Linked DNA regions of Oryzias latipes. The protein of the gene in region 3 binds, or shares a complex with, the protein of the main gene of each other region. Links are inferred from orthologs where the notes say so. Each region holds a gene or a part of one and is shown on either strand. Other genes may lie near its edges.

Region 1 (4,829 bases), on a different chromosome or scaffold from region 3:
ACTAAAAACTGAAGTTTATGAAAGGACTTTGATCGCACAGATCAAACTACTACTGAAATGTAAAATAATGTAATTACAAAAAGGTTTAACTGTAAAAATAATATCTGGTTGTTATTACTTTATGTTGCAAGTGTGTTGTAAAATCCCGGTGTCTGAATCTCTTGTGAAGCAACAGTAACCCGGCAACCAAAACATTTGCCTCCCTGCAGCACCATCAGCGTCCAAAGGGAAAAGGATGAGGTGTAAACAGGTGTGTCCAAGTGTTTCTCTGCAACACTATTCTCCACATCCAAGCACATTTGCAGTGAGCTCTGCACCACTCACAGGAGCGAAACGTAAACATTTAAACCCTTTATTTGGAGAATTATATTTGGATCCTGATCGTTTTTGATGGTGACATTTCTCCTTCAGAGGGTGGGTTGTTCTTTTGCAGGACTTTCAAGATCAGAATTGGAATCTCCACCTTCAAAGCCAAACCTACACTAAAGGAGAAAAAGCGCAGAAACATTTTTCTCTCCAAACAAGTGGATAAACTAACAGAGTGAGACGGGACTGAAAACCAACCGACGGAAAAACAAACAAACAAAAAAAAACCACTTCGACTAACGTTTGCAGAGAAAAGCTTAGTTGCCAAGACGGATGTATCTTCACCTCAACTCAAGGAGCATTATCAGCTAATGTTTCCTGAGAAAACTGCTCTTCATTTTATCTTTTTGAAACTAAAGCTGACAGAAAGGAAGTAAGCGATGACAAAAGCCCCGAAGACTTGAGTGAAGCTACTGGAGAAGCAGACTATATTGGATCACCAACAAAACACTGCATCATGGCTTCCATACCTGCCAGGCTGCTGGGAAAACCAAAGCCCAAAGGAGAACAATCCACTTTGACTTTAACCTTGGCTATGCTAACTTTTCTCATCAGCAAACAAATGGGAAAGCAGTCGAATTCTTTGTTCATCGCTTTGATGAAACTTCTGCTCAGACTCCTCATTGATTATCTTGGTGGAAGTGCTGTCAGCTACTTTTTGAAGATCTAGTATGGCGCAATTTTTTTCTATTTGACCCATTTTTCCAGGAGGAAATTACAGGATTGAACAATCAGCAAACTAAAACAATTATAGCAGAAGAAGTTTGATGAATGAAACTTTGAACTCTTTTTGCTTTTTGACCCAAATGCGAAGGATAACTGTTGCAAAACCAGCTGGAAGCGCTTGTTTACGAGGCCGCTGTAGGCCATGAATGACAAAGTGTTCCTGCTTAATGCTTCAAGAAGTCACCATGAGTTCAAGCAAAAAGGAGAAGAGATGTTCCACCGAACACTGGGGAGGTGTTTATCCAGAATGTTCAGAGGTACTGTCAGAATTATTTGAGCATTTGTGAACAATAGATTGTTCACAAACTAGGTATGACAGCCACTTTTGACAGTTTGTGAATCCGCGGTGCACTACAATGACTTATACATTAAGGTGGGTTCACAAAGAATAAAGGAAATGGACAAAAAAGCTGCAAATAAAACGGCGTATTTAAAAAACAAGAGTTAACTTGAAAATTTCCATTTTACTTTGGCAAAAATGTCCTGGATTACTCAGTGAATTGTGCTTTATTCTAATTTTGTATCGACAATGTGGTCAGAAATTTTTACGACTTCCTATTTTCAACAAAAAATGTGATCTAAGCATTAAATCAGCATGTCTTCATCTCAACTCAAGACGTTTCACTCTATAATCATGTGGGCAGCCTCATCCTGGTTTTAATGAATACCTTGTAGCTTCAAAAGATCACTATTCCTTGAAATCTACTTAAATAGAACATCATTATAAAGCACTTTTGAATTAAATTAATGATTACAACTCTTCCATACTTTGATGAGGATTTTTATTCAAACCACTTACAGTTGCCATTCTTGTAGAGCAAGAAAGGATCCTGCAGTTGGAATTCCAGGTCTTTGTTAATAGGCTCCACAAGGTTGACTGTACTTAATCTGTTCATGATGGTGAAGCCATGATAAGGAGAAGCAGACCTAAAAGGAACAAACATCACTCTGTTGATAATGCTTCATTGTTTACTGTTGACAAAGCAATTAAAAAACACTTGAAAAAAACTTTTATGACAGTGAAATGTTGGATATTTCAAAATTGATAAAAACATTTCTAGTTTTTACAATTCTTTGTTTAAAGGTAAATATAATCTGGCAATTTTTAAAAACAAGTTTTATTGTTAATTTTCCTAATGATTTTCTAAAAAAGACAGAAAATAAATGCACATGACTTGATTTAAAAATTTCTGAGGCAAAAAAAAGTCAGTTATATTAAATCATAAATGTACAGTTTTCTTGGCAAATTGTTTGATGAGCAAAATTCATTTTTTGTACTGTAAACATAAAAATCTAGGCTGGGGCAAGTTTTCTCGATTTGTTTACAAATACGCCTACGGTGGCCTGTGCACATGCGCAGAGCACCCAATGATGAAGTAAACAATCAAATTACGAGTTCAAGTGCTAATCTTACCTGGCATAAACAAACAGAGTGCCTTCGATGTCGGTCTTCTCCTAAAATGTTTAAAATAACATTACAAGTCAAAACATGTTCTGAAAAGGTGCTGCCGAATCTGTGAACAATAGTTTAACTAAAGGAAATACATTTAAAAATACAAAAATTGAAAGGACTAGAAATAGCATTAGCTAAAATAACGAAGCATAAAGGTCCACGTACGGTAAAGCTTTAGTGAACATAGTGCTACTGTCGCGTTTTGATTAACGAGGGCTAGCACCATGAGCTAAGTAAACATGATGATAAAGCCTCATTCGAATCACAGAAAATCATAAAGTAACTAATGAACTTACCCACTCGTTTACTTTAGAATTAAAGTTGTAAAGTGCAACTTGACCAGTTACATCTAGTAATTTGTTTATATAGGGGTCTTGTCTTTGAAGAGCTGCTAAGCTCATCATATGTCCCGCACTTACAGTTTCCATCTTGGATCGGTCTGTTGTACCTACACGGACGAATTTTTTTGAAACACTTTCAACTTCGCTTGTCCCCGGAAGTGGCGGCGCTCAAAAATAGTTCCCCACTTCCACTATTTTTTTTTAAAGCTCAACTTTATTGCACATTATGCCATTTTACAAAAATGTACTTTTAGGTATGAAAAAAAAACCACAACTGCAAATATCAAATACACTTCTGTAACAAACAGAAGAACAAGACTAGAAATAGTTATAAGCCAGGGGGTTAAACTCTACGAAAAAATACTGAATCTATCACATACAGACAATGTTCTGATTGCTTTTTGCTTCTCTGAATTTCGAATACTGTTGATATACTGATTTAATTTAGAAAAGAATACAGTGAAACAGGGTTTTCTACCTGAAAATGTACATTTATGAACATGGAATTTTGCCAAAATGAGTAAAAGATTTAGAAGTAAACAAGAGTCCTTTTGCATATTTTTTTATATTAGACCCAACAAGACATCTTTCCAAAACAAGACAAAACAAGAATCAATTTTATCATTAATAAAATCACACATCTTCTGCCAAAACACCTTAACTTTGGGACAATACCAAAAAAGATGGATAACTGTTTCAGGGGAATCACAACCAAAGCTACAAAGTGTCTCAATGTTTAATTTAAATCTGTTCTGGATAAACGTTTTAGTTAGAATTATTTTGATTTGGACCTAATTTCATAAGTTTTGTTAAAACAATCTATAACGATACGAACAGTGTAGTTATTTCACCGAATGGCATTTCTCCCAGATTTTTAATTAACAAAAGAATTAAACAAGGCTGTCCAATTTTCACCGTTGCTTTTTATAACAGCAACAGAAATGTTATCAATACTTATAACAAACTCTGGTTTCTGTAAACTCAATGTCCTGGGAGAACAGTTAGCCATTACTAAGCTGGCAGACGACACGGCCGTATTCATGAAGGAGAGTCATCAAATACCGGAGATCTTTCAAACCGCAGATTCCTATTCTAAAGCAACTGGTTTAAAACTAAATCTCAGCAAGTGTGAATTGTAAGTAAATTTAAACATGTGGTCACAGCGTGACATTTCTATTCTGGGCAGAATGTTTCTCACTAAATTAGATTGTTTATCCAGATTCATTTATCCAGCATATTCACTCCCAATTCCTAAATCTGCAAGGAAAACAAGAAACCAGGGCAATTTTAACTTCATCTGGAAAAACAAAACTCATTACATAAAAAATGAATAATAATTCAGGATTACAGTGAAGGTGGATTTAAAGCCATAGACTTTGAAAGTTTGAATAGTATGATTAAAATAAATTGGCTTAGGGCTTTTCTGCAAAATGAAATAAATATTTTGTTTCATATTCCTTCAAACTTTTTCTCCCATCTGGGGGGCATTGAATTCCTCCTAAAATGTGATTTTGATGTAAGAATGCAGTCTATCCGTGCAAAGAACTACTACGTATACATTTTGGTTTTCCAGAAAATAACTGTTCTTTCTGTGACATAAATATAGAAACACTTGATCATCTGTTTTTGGAATGTATATATGTTAACAATTTTTGGGAGGATTTTTTTTCTTGGTGCTCCTCAAAGTTTCCCTTTCCTATTTCTATTCAATTACAAAAGCGCATCATATTATTTGGAATGGTTTCTGGTGATAATCTATTTTATTTGACATTCAATACTTTATTAATATCTGGGAAATGTTTAATTCACAAGAGCAGAATTTCAAAACCAAACCATTATTTAATACAGTTGATATAGAGATCAGTTAATATTTTAAATCTCTGAAATTAATAAAAAACAAAAATGCAATAAAACTGTCTATTTTCATTGAAGATTACATGTTG
Region 2 (4,735 bases), on a different chromosome or scaffold from region 3:
CCAGGTTAATAGATAATGAATAGAGAATTCATTTTCATTGATGTGAACTAAAACAAGGTCAGGGAACTCGGATGCCCTCTGAGCACAATCCACAAGAAGAAGATCACCACAGGATACAGCGTGGAATGAGGAAGATGATGAAGACTGCAGAAAATGTATTGAAAGCTGCTTTCATGCAGAGTGGAAGGAGCTCCACCTGTAAACGTCTCCTCCTCTACCTCCTTATGCAGAACTTCAGCGCCACCCGAGATCAAACCAAAACTATCTGGCCTATCTTTTTGGTGCCGCGCTCCAAAGCGCTTCCTAACTTCTCCTTTTATCTGACGTCACATCAGTAAAGTGGATTACAAGCTTAAAAACGGAGTCGCGCCTTTCATCCCCATCCAGCCAGACAGCTTGTTTCAGAGAGCCGGAGTCGGGGTTGGTCTAGACGCCGTGCAGCTCAGCCGCCGCCGCAGCCTTGCAGGCAAACAGTCTATCCATTATTCAGCTGCTGGCAGCCTTTTCGGCCGCTCAACTGCCAGTCTCTCTATTCATGCCAGTGTGGTGTTTGAACGCCCACCCGGCAAAGACAAATATCTGCGATGGGGAAGATTTGATTTCACGGTTTCTGGTATTCAGAGGTCTTTAAAGCAGCCGGAGCAGCGTGGTGACTCCACAAACACCGACGACTCTGTGTTTGATTAGTCATCATCTGGCTGTAGCTCTTGGGGAATCATGAGACTGAAAACAGAGAAGCCTATGTGTCAGGAATCCAACCTCACTACCTGCACCTTAAAAGCTCCAAGCTGGAGCGACGTTTCGTTTAGCGTACTAACCCTCCAAACTAGCTTTAGTGTCCTTTTTCTTTTAAAGACCCACTACGATCAAAAATTGTGCTTTTAACATGTTCTTGAGGTACTTTTTTGGACAATAGAGCGTATTGATAAAGTACATTAGGCTTAAAAATTGCATTTCTGAGTATTTGTGATGTAGAAAAATCACGCTGGGGGCGCCACAAACTCCCTGCTTCAAGTCCTCAGCAACAGAGAGGGGGAGAGGGGGCGGGCTTGCCGCCTCCACTTGCTGACATTAGTGAATTTTTGTTTCGTAGAACAGGAGAACATTCCAAATAGTATTTACAGCGTCCGTTTCTTAATTTCTGAGACGAGAGTGGCTCATTGCACATTTCACTGTATTCCATAAAACAAATGTTTACGAGTAAGTAGGTAAAGTCCTTCTATCTTCTTTTCATTAGACAACTCCAAAAAAAAAAAAAAAGTCACATTGCATCTTTCACTCTTGCCGTATCCATGGCAACCCGTTTTGTTGGTCCACATCTCTACACGACTCAGATCCCAAACAAACTGCCCCGTGGTTAAAAATAACTTCCATAACAGGTGAGACGCAGCAGACGCGGAAAACACACGTGCGCGCGGCCGCGTCCACGTGAACTCCACCGTCCTGGCCTCCGTGGAGAGACGCCCGGCCGAAACCGCAGGGGCCAAATGGGTCATTAACCCCCGCCCGCCTTCGCCGCCCTCTGTCCTGCTGTCACAAGGTGTCAAAGTGACAAATGGAGGGGAGGGCATTCCCCATGCAAGCCAATGAGCCTCTCCTTTTGCCACACCCAGGTTTCCATGGTAACCGCTTCCATAAATGTCTATTTTAGTCTACAAAAAAATTAGGACATAAAAGTTGGAAGAGATTTGCATTTATGCACATGGCTGATGTTTAATATTATTACAAAAAACACTTTTTTTAATACAGTAAAGTGGTTTGTTGTGTAAAAAGTCATTATGTTTTCCCCATTTTCAGGAATACGATAAAAAAAAATAATTATGTAACTTAAGTTTTGGTGTCTTTTTTGTTTTGTTCCATGAAGTTACTATGAATCTTCACTAACATGGGATTTGGACCACTCAACCACAGCAAACACAAAAAGAGAAATAAACAGAGAGCTCTCAGTGATGGGAAGGGTGGGCGGGGTTTTAGGCGACACAAGTTTTGTTTTTTGTTGGGTTTTTTTGCTAAAAATATCACAATCATGAGGGTTTTTTTTAACTGTTGGGAATGCTTTGAAAATAGCTGAACAGATGATGGGAGGGGGGACTTGACTTGAATACGGCAAAGTAGAGCTGCACTCATATCCACATAGATTGCTTTGGCATAAGCTGTTGGTGGACGCAGCTGAAAACCTCAGGATGAAGAACAGTGCAGCGGTTTCTGCTGATCCACGTGGAAACTCCAGCTTCTGAGCGTTTCTAGCAGCTTGCAGGGCTCTAATCAGAAAAGTCACGTTTACAGAAATCAATGATTGTACTGCAGGTGATGGGAAAACAGCTATAAGGGGGTTTGATGCATCAACTTTGACCAAACATTTAGTAGATTTCTGTGCTGAGCAGCTAAAGTAAGATTAAAATGCAAATAAAGAAAAGAAAATTGAGACACTTTTTTTCTTAAATGCATGTATGAACTGGTAAACAGGTTCAATTCCCTGAGAGAAAAGTGGCAGATCTTCATTCATTCTGCCTGCTGTGCTGCTATCATTTCCCACGTCGTCCAGTCATTTGGGAAGCAGCTGGTTTAATAAAATAATAATCAACCCGCCAACGCCTATGGCTGGAAAATCCTGACTATAAAAGTCCACCAAGCAGCGCACGTTGATGGGGGTTATGTTGAGGGGGAAACAAAGATAACAGCGTCTTTCCAGCACATTTCCCACCAGCTCCCTCCTTCATCCACACACGCAGCGCACCACCATGCTGGCCGGCAACGCAGCCCATCAGCTGGGAAAACCTGCTGAAATAAAGTAGGGAAAAAAAGCTCCGCTCACCAAATGTCTGACAGCAAATTCAAATGTCGTTGCTGTCGGTTTGAGTGTTTTTCCTCCGCCGGCTCACAGCGTCTCATGTATTCCGAAAAGTCCTGCTCCTCCGGAGGCTCAGACCTGCTCCGCTCTGCCGCCCTCGCCTGATTTTTTTTTTAGCTATAAAACTTGCCGAGCCCAGGCTATTGTTAGCCAAGCGCAGAGAAGTCTGCTGCATACAAAGTCCCGCCTCCTCACCGGAGCGTTCGGCCACGCCATTGGTTGGTCGTCCACACTGCCTCATTTCTATTGGCTGACAAAGATGTCCGTCTAAACTCTCGGGGCGGGTCCCGACTCGCCGGCAAAACCGAACGACCTATGCTGCATTCACGTAACAAATAAAAAGTGCGCATTTGTAGACACTCACGTATGGGTTGTCCCTGCGTGTTGCCTTCATGTAACCATGTTATGGAAATATTAACTACAGAAAAAAAGGATATTTCAAACACACAGCGGTGACGTCGTTATTTAGATGAGCTTCACAGTGAGAGAGAACTCTCCTTTAAAATAATTTATTTTAGATTATTAAGTCAATAAGAAAGAAACAGATATAATTTTTAAAACTCAGATGACATAATTTTTTAATGAAATTGCTCGTCCGTAAGGTGAGGAGTGAACATTTCTCTCAAAAAAACATTAAAGAACAGAAAACAATCCTTTTTTCCTATAGAAAGTAACAAATGTGTACATTCAATAAATTGAGTTTATATTCCAAGTAAAAATAATGTATATAATGTATGTAAAATACATTTCATTAACATTTTAATGCAATTTCAGGTTTTGAATGCCTATCTAAACATTTGGATTCTTGACATTGATTCCGTCAAGTGGACCAATGAAACCTTGTTCAACGTTTTAACCAAGGTGAGGATTGCTAAGTTTGCCACTTTTGTAAATGTCTTCTGTTACAGATGTGTACTTTGTTGTACTCTTAGAAAGCCTTGAGCTTTTTATACAAGTACTACTTGTTGGTAATTGATCTTTGTATGTAATATCCCCTTTTGTGGAATCAATAAGGTTTTGTTCTATTCTTCTATAACATAAAGGGAGGTCATATTTTGTTGATTTCAATTGCATTTATTTTAAAATCTTCAATTAACTTCCACGTTTGACTCAAAGTGCTACACAAAAAAATAGAAAGAAAAAAATCAGACAGAGCTTTATTATAATGACTTTTAGGTTACATGTCATCCTATACATGTTTTTTTTTTTTCTGTGATGACTATGTCGTTTTTAACCAATTTAAAACCGCCAATTCAAACTTTGATTTTATCAACATTAAGTGTATTTGACAAGTGACTGTTTTGATGCAAAAATCCCAGTTTTTTAAAAAATAAATTAGTTTAGTTCCACCTCAGATTGAATATTTGTTTTAAACTGTTGAAGATGTCACACTGAATGTCAAGGTAATAAAGGAAAAGCTGAGGTTTTGGTGACACCCAGTGGTCTGTATTTCACATTGATCATGATTGCATCATCATTCATGTAACTGAAAGTCACTCAAAGCTCTTTTTATTATGACGTGAGAATCAGAAGACAATGCATTGTTTTATCCCTTGTGCTATCTTAGATGACCCCACCCTTACTTTGACGTGTTCTCCCTACCATGACAAAGGTGGATAAAGGTGGAAAGATTTCATGTAATCCATGGACACCAGTGAAGATCACAAATCATTGAAGAAAAAAGGTTCAGCGCACTGTCTAGTGGGTCTAGATGACCCAACTCCCAACGTTAAAGACCCTAGGATAGCACAAGGGTTAAAGTAGATTTCAAAATTCTTTGTGTATGAAAGTGCTGGTTACTTTGGTTTAAACTTCAGTCCAGACAAGCAAATTTGCATTTAAATTGTCGGTTTTCGGTAAGCTATTCAATACTAAACTTTTTCA
Region 3 (4,132 bases):
ACTCGGCTCTCGAGTAAAAGTAACAAAACGACAGACAGGATACCAGAAGCACAAACGGACATAAAGCTGCTTTGCGCATCATTCACATTTTTTTTGCTCTTGCTTTCACTGCAGAAAGCTGATTTTATTTCTAGCTGGTGCCAGTTGTTTTTCACACCTAGTTCTGCAGAGGAAATACTTAATTTAAAGTCTGCCTGAGCTGAAAGGAGACAGTTACTCCCAATAACTGTCAGGCAACTAGGTGTGTGAAATTTGTCCTCCACATTTGACCCATCCCCTGGGGGAGTGGTGAGCTGCAGACACAGCTGCGCTCAGGAACTATTTAGTGGTTTAACCTCCCCCAATCCAACCCCTTAATGCTGAAAGTCAAGCAGGGAGGCATTGGGTCCCATTTTTAGTCTTTGGTAAGACTCGGCCTGGGTTTGAACTCACCACCTTCCAGTCTCATGGCCGATACTCTACCACAAGGCCAATGAGTCAAAAAAAAGTTTAACCTTTGTGTCTCCATTACCTGTGGTTAATTTGAATAATAGCTTTAAAGAGAAAGTGTTTTTGTTTTCTCCATTATTGTCTCACATATGTAATCCCCTGCTAGGTAGGCTGCACTTAACAGTGATGTCAGGCCACACACCTGCTTGCTACCTTGTTTGTTGAAGGTTCTTGTGTCTCGAATGTTTGCTCACACTGGATGTACATCCCTTTAAGCTTGCCTTGTGTTTGGAGTGGAGCCTCTGCTTTTAGATTTGTGCGCTGCATTGAACGTTTCTGTTTGTAGACGTGAGCTCGGTTTGTTTTCCCGTACTCCTCCAGGACTCCAAGAGCCCGCGGCCGATGAAGAAGTTCCTACCTGGCAACAGGAAGAAAGAGCGCAAGCCATCTGATGATGAATTTCAGATGAGAAAAAGTAAGAGTTTCACCTCAGTGTTTTCAGTGTATTTGTTATGAATTAAAAAAAAAACCTAATTGAATTATCGAAAGCTGAAATATGGAAATGGAAACAAAATCTTTCAAATATTCTCTTTGGTTATATCCACATAAAATAAAATTTAATTTCTTCAAAGGGAATCATTAAAGCATTCAAGTGTAAAAATACTATACAAAGAAACATTAGACATCAGATACACTGGTGTACACCACCTTGGGAAAGAACCAGTAAGGTGCAGGAATTGTAGGCAGATGAAAAAAAATGCTGTAGTCAAAGTTTTCAGAAATATAAATAGTGCTTGTTTTATTTTTAGGCTGATGTTATTCACACATATTTACGTGCGACCAGCACAAAATATTGATATTGGCCACACGTTATACGTGCAGCCAAGATGCACATTGCTGCATTGCCTGCATGAATTTTAAGTGTGTCCAAGGCTGGATTTTGTTTTTGGCTGCACATATTTAAAATTAAACTTAAAGTTAAAGTCCCATTAGCTGTCAGCCAGGTGCGTGAAATGTGTTCTTCACATTTGATTCATCTCCTGCAGAAACGGCGTCTTCCTCTGGGTCTGTGCGGCCAAGACATTAAGATTAGGGCTGGCCTCACATACTTTGAAAATTACATGCAAAGACACTTTCTATTTTTTATAATTTTACAAAATGCAAAGAAAAGTAAAAAAAATATAAATCCAATCCATATTTGATTTTTCTTTTCTTTTGCCTTCAACCAGCATCAACTCTGAGCGGTACAGTTGCACAAAATCAGGGATCTTGTAAGATTATAGTCTAGTGTTTGAGCTAATTATACCAAAAAGATGCTAATTATCATCAGTGGGTTGAAACCCAGTCATAAATTGAAACAGAAACTGCTGTGTGGGAGGCTTAAAACTGGGTGAAGAACAGGCAAACTCTGCTGCCAGTTTCATGTCATGACAAGATTGAGCACAGCAACATGATACGTGGTAAGTAAGTTTTCCTGCATCAGCAAGGTCTCTCCCAGACAAAGATTTCAAAGCAAACTGGGGTTTCCAGATGTACTTCACAAGCTCTTTTGAAGAGGCACAAAGAAACGGGCGGCATGAGGATCGTAGATGTCGTGGCAAACCTAGTATAGCAGATGATAGACACAGCAAGCTAATTACCCTTCAAAATTGGAAGATGTCCAGCAATTCCATCAGCTCAAAACTGGCAGAAAACCAGTAGAACACAGGTACATCCTTCTAATGCCGGGAGAAATTAGGCCAGAAGTGTCTTCATGAAAGAACTGCCACCAAAAAGCTGAATTTCCAACATGGAAACAAGGCCAAATGAGTAAAGAAATCAGGAAAACATAAGAATAGAGCTGTAGAAAAATGCCAGCAGATGTTCTGGACCGATTGGGTCAAAATCTGAAAAATATGGCAGTAGCAGTTTGTTGGTGAAAGGGGAGGATAGCAGAAGAAACATGAAGGTCTGCAAGCAACTTTGAAGGACAAGAAGGTTCCTTGAACATTTGGGGCTGCATTTCTGCAAAGAAAGATGGATATGTGTTCAGGATTAATGATACACAGGCAGATGCTTCATCAATCATGCATTTCCATCATGCCTGGCCCTGAATGTATTCTGCAACAGAACAACCCCAAAAGTCATTAAGAACTGTCTTCAGCGGAAAGAAAAACAAATAGTTCTGGAAGTGATGACACAGTCTCCGTGAACTCTAGCCTCAACATCGTGGAATGGTGTCTGGATTTACATCAGGAGACAGAAGGGTGGGAGAGACAGCCTGCATCCACAGCAGATTCTCTCATTGCGTTTTATTGATCAACTAAAAAAAATAAATGATTAATTCTTCCTTTTCTGAAAAGCACTCTTCGTCCACAGCATTTTCTCCCACATCTGCTTAAAAGGTTTGCACATTTCTGTACATCCGTGCAGCCAGAAGCCATGCAATGAAAACACCCTATAACTTTAACTGATATCATATTATAATTTACAGCAGCACATAAACTGTTAAATTATTAGTCCATATTAATACTTGAAGAAAATGTTGTTGATTTATCAAAAGCAAGAATCTCGCAGTGCAGATAAAAAAAGGAACTGAAATTGTTATTTTTGCTGCTTTTCTGATCTGACCTGACTCCCAGACCAGGACAAAGTCTAGGTCATCAGAAAAGCTTCATTGGTAATGGAAGAGGTTGAAGCTTTGTGGTGCTGACACCCTCGTTCAATTCCCAGGGTTCAAATTGATGATTGTGCTCTGAGCTGCACTGCATTTTCATCCACCAGGGTCACGTGCTGTGCAGTTTTCATCAGCAGTACAGTATGATGAATCCTCACGATGTACAGACACCAATAATTCCTCAGCCATTGTGAACACGTTGATATTAATACAGTTCCTTTCCCTGAGTTGTAAACCACACGTGCTGAATGACCCAGAGGCCATGCCTTCTTCTGATGTCCATCTCTGGTCTCGACAGGCATGGCTGCTCTGGAAGAGGACGCTCAGATCCTTCGGGTGATTGAGGCCTACTGCACAGGAGTCAGCCTCCAGACCGCCACAGGTCAGAGGATCACCATGATCTCCACTTAGACTGCACACCTTTAGCAGCAGCTCCTAGCATAATTGAAGCTTTGTCTGTTGCTCTGTGTGTGTGCAACAGTGCGGAAAGAGTGCGTCCCTCAGGTTCTTTTGCCGGAGGAAGAGAAAATCATTGTGGAGGAAATGAAGAGCAACGGGCAGACGGTTACTGAGGAGAAGTATGGAAGTCGTGACTCGTTACAATTAATTGTTGCACGAACACATTTCTCAGAATTGGTTGATTGATTTTGATTACTTCTGTTTAAAAGGACAAAATGGTTTTCAAAAAGAATTCTTTGAAGGTTACATTTGAGGATGAAAACAAATCAATTATGTGTTGTTGACATTCTATTGGTTACCTGCAGGAGTCTGGTTGACGCTGTTTATGCTCTAAAGGACGAGGTTCATGAGCTGAAGAAGGTCAGTGTTATTGCTCGTAATTCCATTCTAACGGAATTTCATTACAAGCATCATGTTACACTTTCAAAGATGGCACAAGAGTAGATTCCTGAAAAGGAAATTAGGATTTATAGCTTTAGTCAATGTGCCTGACCACTACAGGCATCAAGCTTTGTTGTTCAGAATCATGTGGGTGAGATCATCCATTCACATTCTACATCTCAGTGCTGCAGAGGTTATCCTAAATAC

What was found. Proteins that work in one complex are often made in the same cells at the same time.
Region 1: arhgef6 (region 3) and dcp1a share a complex: the UniProt entries of both Homo sapiens proteins name them as parts of the cytoplasmic complex. The link is inferred for Oryzias latipes from reciprocal best matches to the Homo sapiens genes ARHGEF6 and DCP1A.
Region 2: arhgef6 (region 3) and pak1 share a complex: the UniProt entries of both Homo sapiens proteins name them as parts of the cytoplasmic complex. The link is inferred for Oryzias latipes from reciprocal best matches to the Homo sapiens genes ARHGEF6 and PAK1.

What each region holds. Positions count from the first base shown.
Region 1 is NC_019865.2:7,301,420-7,306,248, reverse strand, and holds the start of dcp1a (mRNA-decapping enzyme 1A), read right to left. Parts: upstream 3,013-4,829; 5' UTR 2,974-3,012; coding exon 2,842-2,973; intron 2,548-2,841; coding exon 2,507-2,547; intron 2,020-2,506; coding exon 1,892-2,019; intron 1-1,891. UniProt on the Homo sapiens protein: Necessary for the degradation of mRNAs, both in normal mRNA turnover and in nonsense-mediated mRNA decay. Removes the 7-methyl guanine cap structure from mRNA molecules, yielding a 5'-phosphorylated mRNA fragment and 7m-GDP.
Region 2 is NC_019871.2:4,498,494-4,503,228, reverse strand, and holds the start of pak1 (serine/threonine-protein kinase PAK 1), read right to left. Parts: upstream 3,013-4,735; 5' UTR 2,816-3,012; intron 1-2,815. UniProt on the Homo sapiens protein: Protein kinase involved in intracellular signaling pathways downstream of integrins and receptor-type kinases that plays an important role in cytoskeleton dynamics, in cell adhesion, migration, proliferation, apoptosis, mitosis, and in vesicle-mediated transport processes.
Region 3 is NC_019868.2:11,026,893-11,031,024, forward strand, and holds part of arhgef6 (rho guanine nucleotide exchange factor 6), read left to right. Parts: intron 1-810; coding exon 811-904; intron 905-3,383; coding exon 3,384-3,467; intron 3,468-3,566; coding exon 3,567-3,663; intron 3,664-3,849; coding exon 3,850-3,904; intron 3,905-4,132. UniProt on the Homo sapiens protein: Acts as a RAC1 guanine nucleotide exchange factor (GEF).